Rattus norvegicus: one gene and its partners. The protein of the gene in region 1 interacts with the protein of each later gene in a pairwise test. Links are inferred from orthologs where the notes say so. Each region holds a gene or a part of one and is shown in the gene's direction. Other genes may lie near its edges.

The links.
Region 2: the proteins of Myo5b (region 1) and Bnip2 interact in binary tests that used the Homo sapiens proteins (3 or more experiments, as listed by UniProt). The two-hybrid records come from large-scale screens. The link is inferred for Rattus norvegicus from reciprocal best matches to the Homo sapiens genes MYO5B and BNIP2.
Region 3: the proteins of Myo5b (region 1) and Amotl2 interact in binary tests that used the Homo sapiens proteins (3 or more experiments, as listed by UniProt). The two-hybrid records come from large-scale screens. The link is inferred for Rattus norvegicus from reciprocal best matches to the Homo sapiens genes MYO5B and AMOTL2.
Region 4: the proteins of Myo5b (region 1) and Rab11b interact in binary tests that used the Homo sapiens proteins (3 or more experiments, as listed by UniProt). The link is inferred for Rattus norvegicus from reciprocal best matches to the Homo sapiens genes MYO5B and RAB11B.
Region 5: the proteins of Myo5b (region 1) and Rab25 interact in binary tests that used the Homo sapiens proteins (3 or more experiments, as listed by UniProt). The link is inferred for Rattus norvegicus from reciprocal best matches to the Homo sapiens genes MYO5B and RAB25.

What each region holds. Positions count from the first base shown.
Region 1 is NC_086036.1:70,572,450-70,576,021, forward strand, and holds part of Myo5b (unconventional myosin-Vb), read left to right. Parts: intron 1-900; coding exon 901-1,023; intron 1,024-1,963; coding exon 1,964-2,101; intron 2,102-3,572. UniProt on the Homo sapiens protein: May be involved in vesicular trafficking via its association with the CART complex. The CART complex is necessary for efficient transferrin receptor recycling but not for EGFR degradation.
Region 2 is NC_086026.1:79,524,367-79,527,938, forward strand, and holds part of Bnip2 (BCL2/adenovirus E1B 19 kDa protein-interacting protein 2), read left to right. Parts: intron 1-2,417; 5' UTR 2,418-2,474; coding exon 2,475-2,524; intron 2,525-3,139; coding exon 3,140-3,207; intron 3,208-3,572.
Region 3 is NC_086026.1:112,181,489-112,185,486, forward strand, and holds the start of Amotl2 (angiomotin-like protein 2), read left to right. Parts: upstream 1-1,137; 5' UTR 1,138-1,225; intron 1,226-1,334; exon of another isoform or gene 1,335-1,995; intron 1,996-3,359; coding exon of another isoform or gene 3,360-3,421; coding exon 3,422-3,998. UniProt on the Homo sapiens protein: Regulates the translocation of phosphorylated SRC to peripheral cell-matrix adhesion sites. Required for proper architecture of actin filaments.
Region 4 is NC_086025.1:15,233,892-15,238,038, reverse strand, and holds the start of Rab11b (ras-related protein Rab-11B), read left to right. Parts: upstream 1-1,284; 5' UTR 1,285-1,334; coding exon 1,335-1,374; intron 1,375-4,147. Other genes in the region: Rplp1l1 (large ribosomal subunit protein P1-like), read right to left, coding at 1-242. UniProt on the Homo sapiens protein: The small GTPases Rab are key regulators of intracellular membrane trafficking, from the formation of transport vesicles to their fusion with membranes.
Region 5 is NC_086020.1:176,301,379-176,305,465, reverse strand, and holds the start of Rab25 (ras-related protein Rab-25), read left to right. Parts: upstream 1-1,244; 5' UTR 1,245-1,471; coding exon 1,472-1,514; intron 1,515-4,003; coding exon 4,004-4,087. UniProt on the Homo sapiens protein: The small GTPases Rab are key regulators of intracellular membrane trafficking, from the formation of transport vesicles to their fusion with membranes.

The sequences.
Region 1 (3,572 bases):
ATGCTCAGGAAACATGCATGTGTGCAAGGACCACTTGTTCTTTCGTTCCTCTGTGAACTCTGTGGTTAGGTGGTCACCTTCTGAGGATGCCCTTTCCAAAAGCTGAGGTCTTATTGAGATCTTAGGAGGTTAAAACTTATCTTCCTGCATGTGTCTATTGCCATCTGCTTCTTGTTCTAGACAATTCCACTGTTGAGACAATGGTGTTGTAGGCTCTGACCTCAGCTGCATTGGTCCGTGTGGAGAGAGACCCTTGGAACCCGATTGGGTCTCCTAATCTCTGACAAAATACAAGATATTTTTGTGACATCTCAGGATTTGACATTCCTCTTTACCCGTACGAGTAACTCCCTCCCAACATGCATATTCGACATCCGAGAGTTAGTTGCATAGAAACCAGGAAAGGAATCTGAGTGGGAACTGAAATAGAAATCTATAAATTCCACCAAGCTCGGTTTTCACTCTTAAAAGACAAACCAGCTGCCAAAAACATAAGCCAAAAGGTCTTTTTAAATGAATAGCACGGGAGGTAGGCTCTATTCCTAATTACTCTCGTTTTCATGAGCAGAACCGGGGTGGAAGGAGAGGCCGTGTGGGAAAGGGTTGCAGAAAGGGTTCCTTTCAAGAACGTGGAGAAGGGTGCACTGTGCAATCCGAGGGCACGGCTCGAGTAAAAGGCTGTTCTCTCCTCGCTTTCTGGGTGCTGTGGGTTATAAAACACCGGTAGAGTATTTGCCTGGCATTCATGGGAATAACTATTTATCCACTGTTCCAAGGAGCGCTACTGCCCACAGTTGTTGACGAGAGGCAGTGGCTGATGTCCGGGGCTCCTTGAGAAGTTACTTCACATTAATATGAACTGGTTACGAGTTGTCACGTTTTTTTTTTTTCCTCCTTCAGCAGCAAACTCCAGGCCACAGGAAGAACCCATCAAATCAAAGTAGCTTAGAATCTGACTCCAATTACCCCTCCATTTCCACCTCAGAAATCGGAGACACCGAGGATGCCCTACAGCAGGTGGAGGTAAGTCTGGGACAACTGTTTGCAGTTGTCCTGTTGAGGACACTTAATTGCCTGCATGGAACCACCCAAGAGAGATATGAGATATACTGCTCTGTTGGTGGTGCCTCAGAGGGCCCAGGGCACGGACGTTGAGAACAGGATCACTGGGTTGCAGCGAATTTACTGATATATGGCGTCACATCCGTGTGCATGCCGTTTCCATGTAGATATGGGCACGGTCATCCTCACGGCTCTGCGGCTCACAGGCAGTGAGACTGACCCTGAGTTGTGCTCATTACATGAGGTGGGACATCACCATGCTTCCGACATGCAAAAACAGACTGATGTGCACTCAGACGCATTGCCTACCGACAGGCAAGCACATGCTTGTCTACATACTTAGCCACATAGTAAAATCCAGACCCGGATCTGAAAGGATAGGAATGCACTGGGAGATCAATGTATCAAGATCTGTTGGAGCAGCGCGCTCCACGGCAGGGCAAGTATTGCTTGTTTCAAGTTACGATCGGGTACTCGTTGGCATCACGACAGTGACCGGAGGTCACAGTGATCCCCCATCAGGAAGCACTGTGTCCCAAGATTTAGTTTCCCTCTTGTAATGCCATTTTCCAGAAGTGAATTCCCTTTTACCTTCCAAAGAAAATGCCTGTGCCTGTTTTCAGTTGTTCCTTAGAGTATGCGATTGGTCACTTAAGTGGCTCTCACAGGAGGAATGTGAACGGCTGAGACACAGATGTTATTGAAGAGAATAAGCCAGCAGCACCAGCTTTCTGATGGGAAATACTAGTGGTTTGACACTGGCTTTGTGTTGGAGGCAAGGATTGGTACTGGGGAGGAGCAAGGAGACAGATGACTGATACAGGGGTGGGCAGCCAGGCATTGTTCCCAGGAGCATTTGTGCTGTGAAAACTACCTTCTGGATACCCCTCTCCGTTTGCAGGAGATTGGTATAGAGAAGGCAGCCATGGACATGACTGTCTTCTTGAAGCTGCAGAAGAGAGTGCGGGAACTTGAGCAGGAGAGGAAGAAGCTGCAGGTGCAGCTAGAAAAGGAACAACAGGACAGCAAGAAAGTGCAGGTGCGTAGCCGCTCTGTTGTGAGCCCATGGGGTCTCAGTGGTGTTGGGCTTCAGAGCTTCCTCTTGTGGGAACCAAATTGATCACTCTCTGTGAATGTCTCACCCCACTGCCTCTGAGCTGGGTGTGCTCCCTGAGTATCCCAGGGCAAAGGATTTCCACTGGGAAGCAGTAGGGAGTCTGGGAGCTCATGCCTGGAGGACTGGCATCAGGTGCAGAGAAAATAAAACAGCAGAAGTCAGAATCAGCAGAGAAAGTCTACCACCCTCTCGTGCCTGGAATCTAACACAAGCTCAGCCACCTGGCTGAGAGCCAGAGGAGACCCTTCTCACCTACGGCTGTGCCTTTGTGTCACCACAACTGATGACATCCCTATCCTCTTGCATCTTGAAAGGATACTGTGTGAAACTTTACATCTAAAAGTAATTTATTTGTCTCAAGGACTTTTGGGGAACCTAAGCTATAAACACAGAACTATGCCAGTATCAGGCTCGAAGCAAATACACAACGTGGGCGTGCAAAAGAGAAAACAGAGCCAGCAAGATGCCTCTCAGGATCATGAAGACCCTCGCTGTCAAGCCTGCTGGCCTGAGTTAGATCCAAGGGACACACATGATGGGAGGAGAGAACTGATGCCTGCAAGAAGCTGTCCTCTGGTTTTCACAGATACCATGGCATAGGCAAGCCATGACAGACACACATATGCCTGTGTGTGCGCACACACACACACACATACACACACACACAGACACACACACACAGTCGCTATGCATAGTTTCTTTTTTTAAGACCGGTAAAAATGCAGGAGACAAACTTAGCCATTGGGGAATTTAAATCAGGTTTGGGAGTAGGAAATGTAGCTCAGGTGTAAAATAAAAAAAGAAGGTTGTAGTGTGACTGGGAATGCCGTTGATTACAAACCTATCAGTACTGCCACAGCAGAGAGCTGTCAGAGATAAGAACCCCTTTTTCTCACCGTGAAGTTGTGAGGAGAACTTCTCGTGGGATTTAAGTCCAGCTCTGCGCCATACCACTAGCAAAATCTATTCTCATGCCTAAACTGAAAATTGTGGGATTTGACTCTCCTCGTCTTCCTCCCCCTCCCTCTCCCCCTCCCTCCCTCTCCTCCTCCCCCTCCCCCTCCATCCTTGACCCCCATCCTGGACCCAGACTCTTTTTTCATAACACCTTTCTTTCCTTTCCATTCTGACGTGGTATAATATGTATACAAGTACACTATTACTTCACACACACCAGAAAAGGGCAACAGGGGCACCTCTGAAAGAGCGAGTCAGTGCTCTTAACTGCTGAGCCCTCATTTTGTTTGGTTTTTAAGATTCATTTTTATTGGGCTGGAGAGGTGGCTCAGTAGTTAAGAGCACTGACTCTTCTTCCAGAGGTCCTGAGTTCAAATCCCAGCAACCACATGGTGGCTCACAACCATCTGTAATGGGATCTGATGCCCTCTTCTAG
Region 2 (3,572 bases), on another chromosome or scaffold:
CAAGAACAGAACTCGATTGTTGGCTTTGTTTTCATCTACCTAGTCTGCTACCCCCGTCGTTCTTGGTGAAATTGTGGAGTTAGTCTATTTCTCTCTGTTCCTTCTTTGTTAAACTAGCCTGATAATCGTCCCTCCCCATAACTAAAAATCCATGATAATGTGTGTGACCAGCACATGACTGAGAACATTAGTAAAATTGAGGAAGTTGGCTGCAAGGGCTCAAGGAGTTGGGCTTCCATGTTTGCCTGTGCTGTGGAGAATGGAACCCAGGGCCCCAGGCGCTGAGCAGTGTCTGAGCACCAGCACCGCTCTCCAGGTTTACTTTGTAACAGGGTCTTACATAAAGGCTCAGGGTAGCCTTGAACTTGCAGTCTTCCTGCCTCAGCCTCTGAGGGAGCTGGGATTACAACCCTGTATATAAGGAGCCCCCTTTTTGTTGTTTGGTTTTAGTCGTGTTAAGACAAGGGTCTAGCTACATAGATATCCCAGGCTAGTCTCAATCTCAACAGTAATCCTCTTGTAGGCCTCAAAGTACTAGGATTACAAACCTGAGCCTTCATGGCAGTTTTGAAGGAGTTAGTTTTCAACTAAGAAAGTAATAAATGCTAAGAGAAATAAGAGAAATAAAGAACAACTTTACCAACAGTAATTTACATTGTATATATTTATGTTCCCAAAAAGTATTTTCATAACATTTTTAAGGGAAACTCATAATAACTATTTATATAATTCAGAAAGCAAAAGAAACTTAAGGGTTGACCAAGGCCTGGCCCAGTTCTGGTGCACCGCCACTGTGAAGCCCCGTAACGTGCTGAGCATTGTGCTGATGTTAATGTATTGATTACAACTGCCAGTTCCTGCTGTTACTTCTGAGATTTTTTTTTTTCTGGTTATTTAAAAAAGATGCCCAGAATATTCTGCTTCTCCCCACCCCACCCCCAGTACCCAGGAGAAAGGCAGGACAAGACCGAGGGAACTGTTGTGGTTATTTACCCGCACGTAGTTCAGTAACAGAACGTCAGCACGTTATCTTTTCTTCCCAGTACTAATAAAAAGGTTTGTAAAATTGTAAGCCCTTTGAGACTTTCCCAAGTATAAGTAAATACTCAACCTGGGAGGCAGAGACTCTAGTCATTCATTGAGGAATGAATTTAGTTTGCTGTATGAAACTTAACAATTCAAGCATTTAATTTCCTTTAGTTTGTTTTTAGAATATCATTTGATATGAATGTGAATAGCTCTCGTCTATTAGAAAGGTTTTGGGTGGTGTTTCGTTTTGTTTGGTACATGGTTTTTTAAAATCGGGTATTAGAGAAGGACGTGGGTGCGCTGCTTGGGCATGCTGCCCTTTCTCTGTGTCAGCCACTCGGAACTACTACTTTGTTTTTGTTTATATTTATTTTTGTAGCTCCAGTTATGATGTATGGCTCTTAAGAAAAATTCAAAGGTAGCATCCTGGCCAATACCTGTAGTCCCAGAACTCAGGAGATTGGAACAGAAAGGTCACAAGTTTGAAGACAGTCTAAACTGAAGGGCAAGGATGTGTCTGAGAGATTGAGAACTGTGTCAATGCTGTCTGTAGGAACTTGCTCTGTGTTACTCTGATGTAAACGAGTTAACACTCAGAGTGCCTCCGTGTCAGTGATCTGCCACCTGCTTCTGTTGAACTTCTTACCAACTGATAGTCATGACTTTTTAAAGATTTGTTTGTTTTTTATTTTATGTGTGAGTGATTTGTCAACATGTTTGTGTGCCACATGCATGCCATACTCTCGAAGGTCAAAGAGGGTATGTAGCACCCCTGAAACTGGGGTCTCAAGTGTCATGAGGGTGCTGGGAACTGACCCCTGAGCCATCTCTCTTGCCTCTCTTCATGACTTATACTGTACTTCAGCTGAATTATTCTGTCAGACAGAAAGTGAGTTGGTGCAGAAAAAAACAAGATTAGCGTTTAGGGCATGAATTAAAATAGATAGTTGCACATGTGACAGACAGCATCAGTAGATGGGACACCGAGTTATGAGAAGGGCGTGGCACAAATGGGAAGCACATCATCAACCAGTACAGTCTGCTGCTGGACAGGCTCCACACACTGAGTAGACTAAGTGGCTAGCAGTGGTGAGAAGGAGCCGTAAACACTGCAGAGCGCTGGGCTCCGGTGGCTGTGTCTGTACATGGAACGCACTCCTGTGCTTCAGGATCCACCCTGTGCAGAGGGCAGACAGCCAATTTGTTATTCTATAGTAGAGACGCCATTTGTCTATCTGCAGTAGGTCAAGTCTCATAACCAGACCACTGAGCTAAAGCCTCTGTGGCTGCTGGCATGGAGATGCGAGCTGGAGGGGAGACTGCTGCACCTTTGCAGCAGATGAAGGGCAGAGGTGGAAATGAAGCTGTTGCTCATCTTTCTCCCCCAGGACCTCGGCTGCCTGGATTGCCAGGAGCTGGAAGTTGACATTGAGTCTAGGCTGAGGATGGAAGGTGTGGAACTGAAAGAAGAATGGCAGGATGAAGACTTCCCAATGTGAGCGGTACTTTTTATTAAACAGATTTGGACCAAAGCATCAGGATTCCTTTAATGAAATGTCAGCTCATGAATGCTGGGCTTCTTTAAAGAGAAGGTTACAGTGATCACTGGATACTAGGAGATGAAAGTTATTTTCTACCAAATATGTGACTGACTTATCTTTTCACATTTATTTGAATCATTTCAGCTTCAGGTTTTAGGTTTTTGTGCTTTAAGCTAAAGTCTTAGGTTTTTGGAGGAATGGGCTATCAGCTCTCTGAAAAGTGAATGGAGTGCCAAGCTGGTAGGATCCACTTGTAACCCCAGCACTGTGGAGATGGAGACCAGATCCCCAGGCCTACCTGCCTGGGCCATGTAATTAGTCCCAGGCTGGTGACAAATGCTGTCTCAAATGGTGGACAGCCCCGAGGAACATCTGAGATTTTCTCTGACTGCAACACACACACACACACACACACACACACACACACACACACACACACACACACACTGGTTTGTAGAACTTTTGAAACATAGCTTTAGTCCTTATAATTGTGACATTTTAATGGATCTTTGAGCTTCAAAAGAGTTATTTTTAATTTCTGGAATAAAGAGCTTATCTATGTCTTCTAGACCTTTACCAGAAGATGACAGCATTGAAGCAGATATACTAGATGTAACTGATCCAGACAGACAGCCTGGTAAGAATTTGTGTTACTTTTGAATACATTTCTTTACATATATAGAGAGAAACCAACAACATTGAGCCCCCCATCCCACCCCATAGAGGGCGTCAAAGGGCAAATTTTGGAATTCTTGAGAAATTTAACTTTATAAAATAGTATATCTTTGGTTTTAGAAATTTTTACAAGGAGCAAAAGAGACTATTTAATAAGAAATGACAATAAAGTCTGTCTCTGTTGTTTCAAAGGAAATTGGTACTTTCTTGATCTCTCTCTTTTTTTTTTTTTTTTTTTTTTTTTCTTTTTTTCGGAGCTGGGGACCGAACCCAGGGCCTTGCGCTTGCTAGGCAAGCGCTCTACCACTGAGCTAAATCCCCAACCCC
Region 3 (3,998 bases), on another chromosome or scaffold:
GAGGGGAGTCAGAAATGACAGACAGAGGAGTCCATTCCACACTAAAGTAGAACACCAGAAGCCAGAGAAGGGGAAGACAAAGAGGGCTGGCTAGGTGTAGACAAATTGGAAAAGATTGGAACTGGGGACAGGTAGGTGGAAGCAGAGACTCTCTGGGCCCGCCTTATCAGGCTAGGGTACCCGGATTCCGAAGACCAAGAAAAGAGTCCTGGCTTCATCAGCTATTCTCTGTGTGACCCTAGGTAAGTTATTAAACTCTCTGAGCCTTGGTTTCTTATTTATTACAGAGATAATGAGAGCACGGTTGGAGAGTGACTAGAATCTTATGGCCGAGTAAAGAGCAAGTGGTGACCCGCCTTGTGCTTGACTTAAAGCTGAACGGAGCTGGGGAGAAGTTAGAGAGAGTGCCCAGTGAGTGGCTGATTCATTTGGGTAGTGGGTTAAATCCACCAGATTTTCAACCCAGATTCACACACTTCCTGTAGAGGCGGGATCTAAAAGAGCTGGCGAAGGTGTTTGTAAACAATAAAAGTGCAATTCAAAGTTTGCCGCTGGGGGGTGAAATAGTAGGGGTTAGGAAAGAGGCTGGGCAGCTGCGGGCCGAAGCATCGGTTGGTTCGCCTGCAACACGGCCCAAGCTGGGCGGATGTAAAGTGCTTTGCAGTCCTCCCGCCATCTCCAAAAAGCCACAGACCCCTCTTGCAGCCACCACCGGGCGTTCGAGGCTTATCCCTGGAAGTCGTCCCTCGGTGCATGTAAGGATGACGGGTGAGAACCGGGTGCGGACAGTGGTGGGGCGATCTTGGGACCAGTTGGTTAAGACACCCCCAACAGCTAGGACAGCAAGGCAGAAGGCAGGGAATGCCGTACGGCCCCAGAGCCCAGGGTGGCACAAGGGGACAAGGCTGAGGCCAGCCCAGCCGCCGGCCGCAGCGCCGCCTCCCCGGAGGAAGGCGGGGGCTGGGCCAGGAGGCGGGGGGAGGCGGAGAGCGGAGGAGGGCGGCGCGCTGAGAGGTTATTTGTGGTTCGCTTTGATCCCGAGGGGGAACCTGAAACTCTCACATTCCTGGCATAGCAGCCGCCTCCAGCGCGGGCTGACCTAGAGGCTGCGCACTGGGGCGCGAGCAAGCAGATCGTCGGCGCCACCGACGAGTGCGCACCTCCGTTGCCGACCGTACCTAAGCCGAACCCGGTCTGCGTGCGCCGGCAGCCGCGGGCCGCAGCGGTAAGCAAGGCGCCTGGCGCTCCGGGTAGTGCGCGAAGCCTGCGGGGACGCTTCCCAGCGGCACCCGGACACCGCGATCAGCCCGACTCTTTCTGGAGATCGGAGCTGGAGTGGAGGAGCCTCCCCGGGGAGGGGACACTGTGCACCCTTTCGAGGATTGATCCTGGGTGTCTGTCTAGCCTAGGCTGCTCGCGCTTTTGTGGGGGTGAGGACACGATTCTCCGACCCACTGGGGCTGGAGGAAGGACAGAGGATCAGTGTTTGGGAGTGTGCGTCTCGTACGGGGCAAGTGAATAGCTGCTGTAGGCATATCTCGCCGAATACGGGGTCACCGTGATTGCTTTGTCTAGATTGGGGATACAGGTGGCTTTTACCGTCAGCTAGATCAAGAATTCCTCTTTGTCTTCCTTGGAAAATCCTCTCCGGAGCCACGAACTGGCTCTCACTTAGAAAGAATGCAGCCTGCTGTCCAGTCCGGTGACGTCAGCGCTGAAGTATTTGGAAAACAAAGAGGGTTAGGGAGAGAGGCGGACCCGCGATGCTTAAAGACCTCTCGCGGGTGTGGGTTTTGCTTGCCCGGGGCACTCGGGCAACCACCAGTGCTAGTGGTCCACCTCGGTGGAGGTGGGAAACGCGGGAACCCTGGTCTGGCTGACTTAGAGACTAGCGTTGGTTCTTTTTGCTGGAGGGAGCCCGAGCCAAGGCCAGAGAAGCATGTTTGCTTAGAAAGGTAGCTGGTTTTCCGAGTGCAGTGTTCCAGAGCAGCCCAGGTACAACGTCCGAGTAAGGAAGCTGATTTTTAGAAATTGCTCAACCCTAAGAATTTGAAAGATTGTGCATCTAGGGGATTAGATTGGGACGTGTGTGTGATGAGAGGCCTCGGAAATGTTCCGTGCTCCCGGGGAGCCTGGCTCATAGTTGGCGCGCCTGGAATCTGTCGGGAAGGCTTTGCATTCCTTCTAGCCGCTCCCGGATCCTCCTTAGCGGGAGTCAGCCCAGACAGTGATTAACGTAGGAAATGCCGCGTAGAAAAAGCTGCGTGCGAACAGTCTCAAGTCTTACACATTGTAGGGTGCAGCTGGGGTGGGGGTGGGGGTATTAGTTGCCGGCTTGGGTGCCCTCGGGGCTCATTACCAACATACCATTCAGGGCTCTGCCAACACATCATTCCCAAAGTGGGGCTGCACACTGGGGATAGCACGGAAGAGAAAGGGGCCACATCCCCACGAGCCCTTCCTTCGTCTTCCCCCTCACCTCATTACCCCATCAACTGGCATAGGTGGTCGTTACTAATATCAACAGAGATACAGAGGGTCATCCCCTGTGTACCTCTAGGGTACAAGTAGAGGCTTTTCTAAGTTTGTATGTGTGTGTGTGTGAAGAAAGGAGGAGGAGGATCAATATTTTGCTGGCTCAATTACTGCAGTCACACCTCTGCCTCACCAGTTCACATGCAGCTTCTCAGGCTGCTCACCTTGCAGAGTGACTGCGAAGGTCATCTGTGACAAGGATTTATTTTATCTGCAGCCCAGGGTCCGACTCCTGGAAGAGAAGCCAGTGGAGGGTGGTGGACTATGGTGGCTCAAGCCTCCTCATTCGAAACAGTCAATGGAGTCATTTGCTTAGGGCTTCTTTCTACTGGGCTACATTCTGTCTTTGGCCACTCTGCGAGTAAACTGAGGTCCTACTGCTTAAGTGGTTGAATTTGATGGACACCTGTCCTGGGGTCACTCGTGAGAGCGTTTGGGGGTAGTGGCTGATTGTAGGCGAGTGTGATTATTAGATAACCTTCAGGTTTTCTGTTGTATTTCTGTGGTCTCCATACATGTCCTTAGAATGGTAAGCATTTGCCAAGGATTTATAGCATGCCAGGCGTTCTACCTCTTACATTTCAACTCCCAAGAGGCACACACACACACACACACACACACACACACACACACACACACGGCAGACTAAGATCAGAAGCTCAGTAACTAAACTTAATCAATTGATGGCCATATTGGCACTTGGATCTGGGCCTGTGTAAAACCACCCAACTATCTCACCTTCTCCTTCATCCAGAGTGTTTTGGCAAGTGCCCCTCCCTCCTTTGTATGTGCTTCCACTGACTGCTATTCTTTCTGTCTGTTAGGTGCTCTGAGACCAGGTGCCTGCTGGCCATTGTCTAGGCAGGTGTGTGCAAGCCAGAGAAGCATGAGGACACTGGAAGACTCCTCAGGGACAGTCCTGCACCGCCTCATCCAGGAGCAGCTGCGCTACGGCAACCTGACAGAGACTCGCACTCTGTTGGCCATCCAGCAGCAGGCCCTGCGGGGTGGGGCTGGAGCTGGGGGCACAGGGAGCCCCCAGGCCTCCCTGGAGATCGGAGCACCCGAGGACAGTCAGGTGCTACAGCAGGCCACCAGGCAGGAGCCCCAGGGCCAGGAGCATCAGGGTGGAGAGACCCACCTGGCAGAGAACAGGCTGTACCGACTCTGCCCACAGCCCAGCAAGGGAGAAGAGCTGCCCACCTATGAGGAAGCCAAAGCCCATTCGCAGTACTATGCAGCGCAGCAGGCAGGCTCCCGGCTGCATGGTGGGGACCGGGATCCTAGAGGGGCCTCAGGAGGCAGCCGACGTCAGGATGAGGCTCTTCGAGAGTTGAGGCACGGCCATGTGCGCTCCTTGAGTGAACGACTTCTGCAGCTGTCCCTGGAAAGAAATGGTGCCCGGGTCCCCAGCCACATGAGCTCTTCCCACAGTTTCCCTCAGCTGGCCCGCAGCCAGCAAG
Region 4 (4,147 bases), on another chromosome or scaffold:
GGAGCAGGACCACCAGCAGGCGCAGCTCCAGCTGCTGGAGCTGGCCCACCAGCCCCTACATTGCAGATGAGGCTCCCAATGTTGACATTGGCCAGAGCCTTTGCAAACAAGCCAGGCCAGAAAAGTTCAACATTGACACCAGCTGCTTTAATCAGGGCATTGATCTTATCCTCTGTGACCATCACCTCATCGTGCAAGATAAGGTCGGAGTAGATGCAGGTGAGCTCGGAGACAGAAGCCATGTTGTGGACTGCCCGCACGGAGCTAGTCGCTGGATGAAGTGAGGGCCTCACCACAATGCAGCCTTAGCTTCCTCAGAAGGACCGAGCACCTTGGCGGCAGCTGAGGAAAGGGGCTACTCCCTTTTCAACTTGAAGCTAGCCAGGGTAACATAAGTCCTTGTCTCAAAAAACAAAACAAAATATCAAGCCGGGTGGTGGTAGCAAGTGCCTCTAATCCCAGCACTTGGGAGGCTGAGATAGGCGGCTCTTTGTGAGTTCGAGGCCAGCCTGGTCTACAGAGCAAGTTCCGGACAGCCAGGGCTACATGGTGTGACCCTGTTACGAAAAAACAAGAAAGAAAAAAAGGGAAAAGAAAGCCAGACAGGTATGGTCTGAGCCATATCACCAATTCCAGTCTAGCTAGGGTTTCATAGTGAAAATCTGTCTTAGAAAATAAAAAAATATGAGTAATGGTGAAAGCAGAAAACAATAGAACTTTTTGAGAAGAACAAATGAAAAAAGCCTAGGAACCCCATTTGTTTTGGAGGTACTGGCATAAGCTTTAGGTTTAAACAAATAACTGGGGAAGTGCAACTCAGAGAAGGCACCCCAATCCACGTACATACACCCGGAAATGGTCATTTATGGGGCTAGACTAAGAGGCCAGAGGAAACCCACTGTTCTATGATGTCACCAGGACGTTAGAGTCCGTAACTTCACCTAGAGGTAGCTCGATACAGGTCCACTGGAAGGCCGAGTCTCAGTCCAGTCTCTCATTGGTTACATACTCTGTCAATCCGCTTCATTGTTCAAGTCTTCCGCCCCTCCTTTCTCCATCTGCTTTTGATAGGCTGCTGAATCTGTCACTTCGAAAAGGTCCGCATTCCTTCCGCCTTTCTCCAGGAGACCTAGGACTAGAAGGGTGGATCCCAGGACGATCCCACCCCCTGAGCTCGCCTCCTAAGTTTGATTGGCTTGTTCAGGTGCCTGTCACTACCGCTTTCACCGTTGACTGGCCACCAGACCGCCGCTCTGCGCGGCGCCGGTACCGCCCCCGTCGGGTGTTTGTGGTGGGGCTGCGGAGTCGCCGATCCCGCCGGAAGCGCCAGGACAATGGGGACCCGGGACGACGAGTACGATTACCTATTCAAAGGTGCGCCCGGTGGGGTACAAATAGGCAAGGTCGCAGTAGCGACTGGAGGGCCGAAGCCGTGATACAGGACCAGAGGGTTCAAGGTGGAGCCCGGGGCTTCAGCGGGGCCTATCCGGGGTAGGGAGTCTGAGGAAGCCGTGGCAAGTGGAGCTTGCTAGGTTTTGGGCCTTAGTGCGCAGCGGTGAGATGAGGGAGACTCGGAGAGGCCTATGGACCCCGGATGCGCCGGGGCGGGGCCGGGGCCTTGAGGGGGTGGGGCCCGAAGTGGTCGAAGAGGCCGTTGGGGCGGGGCGTCCTGAGGGGCGGGGCTTTCTTGGGTTTGGCGGGCGGACTACGTTGAAAGCGGGATTATAGGTGGTGGTAGGGCGATGGAGAAGGTTGTGGGCGTGCCCACTAAGCCTGATTGGTTTGAGCCTTCTAGGGCTGACTTGTTACAGGCGGGGCCTACCTTGGAGTGGAGGCTGGGTCATGAGGTGCAGTATCCCTAAATTGTGGTGCTTTGGAATTGGGTATATTGAGGCCTGTCTGTTCATCACTAGTTCAAACTCTTGGTAATTGACGGAAATGTGATTCAGTTAGTAGCATGCTTATCAGAAGCATGCTCAAAGCCCTGGGTTTTATCCCCAACACTGCATAAACATTGGTGATGGTGCAGACCTGTAGTCTCAACACTTGGGAGGCAGAGGTAGGAAGAGCAAAAGTGCAGAGGCCAGGCTGGATTACTGGAACCCTTTTTCAAAGAAAAAAAGAACATGGATGAGATCAAATGCAGTACTTGCACTATTCTGAGACTTTACAACAATGGTCCCTTTTAATCCTCTTTGAGTTTATACAGTCCACTTTGTCCAGGAAACAGGCCTATAGTGGTGCACACCTGGAATCCCAGTACTCAGAGTTGGGGGTAGGAGGATCTCTTTCCAGTTCAAAGCCAACCTGGGCTGGTGAGGGAGCTTAGGTATTGGTGTGCACTGCCAAGCCTGATGACCTGAGTTCAATCTTGGAGCCTCCATGGTGGACAAAAGTCAGCAAATTGTCTTCTGCCCTTCATATGAGCCCACATAGATAGATACACAGAAAAAAATAGTGTAATTTAGCAGAATGTGGTGGCACACACCTTTAATCCCAACACTCAGGAAGCAAGAGAGAGACAGAGATCTGTGAGTTCAAGGCAAACCTGGTACACATAAAGGGGCGAGACAGGAGTGGCAAGTCAACAGAATTTGGATGTTTTTGTTTTTGTTTTTTTAATTTTTTAAAAGCTAACTTATGTTACACAGCCATAGTCTGTCCTCAGAACAAAAGGGAAAAACTGAAGTTCAGAGAATCAGGTTCCTAAGGGTGGAGCAGGATTGAGCCCAGGACAGGTTTTGCCACTTAGAGTATAAGTTTAGGGACAAGGATTGCAGCTTAGATATGGAAAAGACAGGTATTATACCTCCCTTCAACACATACATATCTAACTCAGGAAGAGCTTCCCTACTTTGTAAGCTTCTGTCCGTGTCATTGGGGTTCCCCATTCTTCTGGTGAGCATATTTTAAGGATCTGGCATTGTGACACCTTCTATGCCAAGCTGGGCTTTTGGGTCCTAGACTCCCTGATTGACAGTGATGGATTTTGAGAGATAACTTCTGGATCCTCCAGGGACATACCTTTGCCCTCAGGGTTGTGGAGGTAGTTGGGATATCCTTGTGGCAAAAGGCTCATAAGACAGAGACAGAGACAGACTTCTGCAAAGATACGGGTACCACACAGCACTATGGGCTAGGCGTGGGCTATATCCAGGTGTGAGACTAATTACAGGTGTTAGAGTCCAGGTATCACTTCAGAGGCAGAGTATGATTTGGAAGGCTCTCTGGTGACAGAAAAGATTCAAGTCCTGCTGTGTCCGGGGCCTGTCCCCACTCAGACCACCCGGAGGAAGCTTCCAGGCAGGGCAGGGGGATCTTTTCCCTTCAAGTCATCACATCCAGGCATCTGTGGTCATTCCCTGCTTGTTTTCAGCCTTTTCACTGTTATAAATAGCCTGGCATTGAATGTGTGCCCGAGTCCTCTCTTTGCCCTGTGGGCTGTTTCCTTGATGTGCATTCCCAGAAGTGCAGTTACTAGGTCAGGGGCAATGGAACTCCATTGCCATTCCTGGTACTTGTCTCCAGAGCTCACTTCCTGGAAGCACCAATCAGCTCCTGCAGCAGCTGGCAACGGGGTTGGGGGGTTGGTATTGGTAGAAGGAGAGTAGCCACCTGCCCCCACTACCCTCTCCTACTGTCCTCCTTTCCTGGTCTGGCAGGTACCTTCTTCAGTAAGTCATAGTAGCTGCCTAACCCCCAAGGTGAACATTCTGCCAGTGCTCACCCTAGGTCTCCTCTCCATTCCTGGCATCTCACCTGAGCGTTAACATTTGTCCTTTTCATTCAGACTTTAAACCATTAAATTAGATAAAGGAGTGCTATGAAATAAAAAGGGAAGCCAGGCAGATTGTTATCACCAATCACATCATTTTGCCTGCATGTGGCGAATAATGTGAGTACACTGCACCTGCCAATCCCTTTTGAGACTCACAGCCTTTAGATGCTCCAGGTCAGCCATTATAACAATGGTGGTAACCTGGTCAGCCTTGGAGAGGCGTCTTAATTCAGTGGTAAGAAGATAAATTCAAGGCCAGCCTAAGCTACATAGCAAAACCTTGTCTCAAGAAAAAAAAATCTACGTTTGCACTACAAGTATTGACAGGCTGCTTTTGTCACTATGTGGCTCTCTTTGTCACCTGTAGGA
Region 5 (4,087 bases), on another chromosome or scaffold:
CCACCCATTTGCAGTACCTGGGATTGATCTAGAGGAGCAAAGGCCTGTTCTTCACAGAAAATACAGGTCCCTAGAGTTCACCATTTTTTTTTTTTTTTTTTTCGGAGCTGGGGACCGGACCCAGGGCCTTGTGCTTGCTAGGCAAGCGCTCTACCACTGAGCTAAATCCCTAACCCCCCCCCCTTTTTTAAAAACTTTTTTCTTGTGTGTGTGTGTGTGTGTGTGTGTGTGTGAGAGAGAGAGAGAGAGAGAGAGAGAGAGAGAGAGAGAGAGAGGGTCTCTTACATAGCCCTAGCTGTCCTTGAACTCTCTTTTTGTTATTTTGTCTTTTTTTTTTTCCAGAGCCTAGGACTGAACCCAGGGTCCTGTGCTTGCTAGGCAAGTGCTCTACCACTAAGCTAAATCCCCAACCCCTTAGAGTTCACCATTTTCTAGTTTTAGGAGTGCCCCCAACTCCCTTTCCTACACTTTCATGAGCCTACCAGACCCTATCTGCAGCATTTGTTTTAGTTAAAAAGAAAAATTGTGTGTGGACATGCAGATTCTTCTCCATTACCTTTACTTATTTATTGCATGTGTGTACCCGATGTGTGGGTAGTGTGCCCCACAGTACAAGCGTGACAATCGGAAGACTGACCTCAGAAGGCCTCAAGGTCTTCATCTTCAGATGCTGCACCCATATTCACCACATCCAGCTCTTTCTGCTCTTCTCGCTGAGATCCATCCATGAAGAGAGTAAATCTGATTATTGTATGTTAGGAAGGGACCCATCTGACCAGGTGGTGTTCCAGCTTCACCTGAGTGAGAAATGCTGCCCTTCCCTGGCCTGGAGCTGGTAAGGAGGGGCCTGAAGCTGCCTGCATGCTGGTACATCTCCCAAAGTTCAGTATCGTACAGAGATGCTATACCCAGCTTGCATTTCTTTCTCTAATAGCCCTTCCCCTGATGCCCCCTACCCTGGTATGTGTCCTTATTAAAACCTGAGATGGGAAAGCCGGAGGCCGGTAGGTTTCTGCCCCACCCCCGTGTCTATTTTTCTCAACCCAGTAGCGGCTCCCCTTCTTAGAACCCCAGAAACCCACTCGGGCTCACCCGCAGCCTCACCCACTGTTAGCTCTATGAGCAGGCCCTCTTATTTGGGAGAGTGTGGGCCAAAAGCAGACACCTAACCAGTTTAACCTGTCTGACGTCATCATCGCTCCACCCACCTGTGCCCCAGGTGCCCAGCGGAGCTAGCTAGCTCTTCCTGTTCTCAGCTTCCGTCCTCTCAGCTCCCACAGAGTAGCCTAAAGTGCCAGAGCTGAGCCTCCAGGGCTCTTCCTGGCCTCAACTCAGCCTCTTGTCCTTTACCCTAATGAGAGAGGAGCCAGGTGCAGGTCTTTCAAGAGCTGAGAGTGGAGGCCATTTAACCTATAAACAGACTTGTGACCTCTGTTCCTGCAAACGCCCTCACTCTCCATGCTGAGCCAAGATGGGGAATCGAACAGATGAAGATTATAATTTTGTCTTTAAGGGTAAGTTGGGGCTCTTGAAAAGGGAGAATCCAGAGAGGGTGGGAGAGAGGCTCTTTCCAGAGGAGACAGGGTCTTTTGATTTTTATCTCTCACTTGGAATTCCCCGCGCCCCCCCCCCCCCCCCATCTCCAAGCTCAGCATGTCCTTTAGGAGAGAAAGGCCATGAGCAGTTAGGCAGGTCTGGTTACAAGTACAGATGTTCTGAAATCGTATGCTCTCTAAAGGTGCTGGTAATTCCTTCCTATTGCCAAACTAGGCTTCCCTGCCCAGTCTCTAATAGATGCTGGAATCCCTGGGAATGTCAGTGATGCCCAAGAGAGAGAGGTCAGACTTCAGAAAAGGACTTGCAGGGAAGAGGAAGAAGCAAACCAATTTAAGTGGAAGAAAGTCATCTTTCCCAGCAGATGCATAGGAAAGAGGGGAGGGAGAGTGGTAGCCATTGTTATCTAGGTAGTTAACACATAGGGGAGTTGACTCATAGGTAGTTGATACACTGGAGCAATGCATTGAATTTGGAACAGTCTAATGGATTCCACAGGAATCCTGGGCTGCATGGCCTCTTGCACTGTCTTTGGACCCAGATATTAGGCACTGGGTTCACTGGGCTGTCTCTGAAGGTGCACATGCTTCCCTCCTGCTCCCCTCACCCCCCAACTCCTGATATTTGGTCCCTCTGTGGTTCTCTAGCCCTCCTTGAAGGCAAGGTGGCCTGGTGGCACTCTCCTTTCCTTTGCACCACACCCACAGCCTCTCCCAAGCTCAGCCCCACCCTGGCCCAAGCTGGGGAGCCTGTACTCCTGGCATTTTCCCAAGGAAGCGTGGGGCTGTGGCCACAGGTGTAGTGACTCCCATTTGTTGAGGCCCTACTAGGTACCATTTTCATACAATCATCTTCTCATCCCTGGTGTGAGCTATCACTATAGGTGGTTGTGTGGTCTCTCTGCCACTTACCAGTTAGCTCAGATGGAGTCCCAGTGCTACTTCCAAGAAGTCTGGGGTATTCTGTAATGATTACAGGCTGGCACATGCAAGGATAAACAGGAGGAAGCAGGATCGGGCAGAGGATAGTCACCTGCCATGACAGCTCAGAGCTATTCAGAGAACAGGGAGCTTTGGGGTAGCCTTGGAACACTGTCCCTGGGGTACCACATGGACCTGTCTAGAGAGGCATGACATCCCGTGTCCATGAGGGCTCACCTGTGAGCTGTCACTGCCACTGCTTCCCCCCCTGCAATGAGGGGGTGGAGCAGGTCCTTCCTAAAAGGTAGAGGTGAGCAGCACATCTATCTGTTTAGTGCATTGTGAGAGACCTACTAGGTGGGTACCTTGTCTATAAAAATGGGAATAGTGGCCGGGCAGTGGCAGTGCAAGCCTTTAATCCCAGCACTCGGGAGGCAGCAGGTAGATCTCTGTGAGTTCAAGGCTAGCCTGGGCTATAGACTGAGTTCCCGGACAGCCAAATCCTGTTTTTTATAATAATAATAATAATAATAATAATAATAATAATAATAATAACAATAATAATAAGATAATAAAGGCATTTACCTCAGGCATTGTTGTGAGGTTACATGAAGTGTTTTGGATGGAAGCACTCTGTAAATGTTAGCCACTGGGATTTTACAGAGGAAGAAACTAAGATGTAAAGAGTTAAGTAGTTCTCCAAAAAGAGGTCACAAAAGGGGCTGGAGAGGTGGCTCTGTGGGTAAGCACCCACATGGTGGTCACAACCATCTTTAACTCCAGTTCCGGGTGATCTGACACTCCACCAGGGATGCATGTGGTATACAAACATACATAGAGGCAAAACGCTCACACACATAAAATAGATAAATCTTAAAACAAAATTAAAAGGCCACAAAGCCAGTAAGGACAGAAGCCTGCCTAGCATTAAAACCTTGCTCCAGGGCTGAGGCCAGGGCTGTGGATGGATGAATGGGGATGTCTCTCCTAGTAAAGGAGAGGCAGTAACGCGCATGCGTCCACGAAGGCGCACTCCAACACCTGCCTCTCACCTACAGAAGTGTCACTGGCCAACCTTAGCCTCAGTCTTCCATGTGGACACACAACACACCCAAGCCCCTTTTCCTCATCCTTCCAACTCACATACAGACATCTGCAACCTTCCCATACTCCATTCTCCCTAGTCCAGAAATGTGCACTCCAGCCCTCCCGGCGGCCTTTGTCCTTTCTCACATGCTGTCTCAGTCACCTTTCCACATGTCCTCTGCCAGCAGCCCACACCCGTTGCTCTTAACTGTGTTACCCTGCTGCCTCAGCAGCCCCTGTCTGGAACACTCCTGGCCTTTCTATTCCCTGCCCTCAGACAGATGCCCAATGCAGTGTGGCCAGCCCCAGTCTCTGCCAGAAGAGATAACTCTTTTCTTGCTTTTCTGATCTCACTTCCTCTTTCTGGTGGGACAGGCTGCCCAGCTCAGGTAGGCTCAGAGCTGCTCTGCCCTGGCTCAGCCCTCCTCTCTCCACTCCCTCAGTGGTACTGATCGGCGAGTCAGGCGTGGGCAAGACCAATCTGCTGTCCCGGTTCACCCGCAATGAATTCAGCCACGACAGCCGCA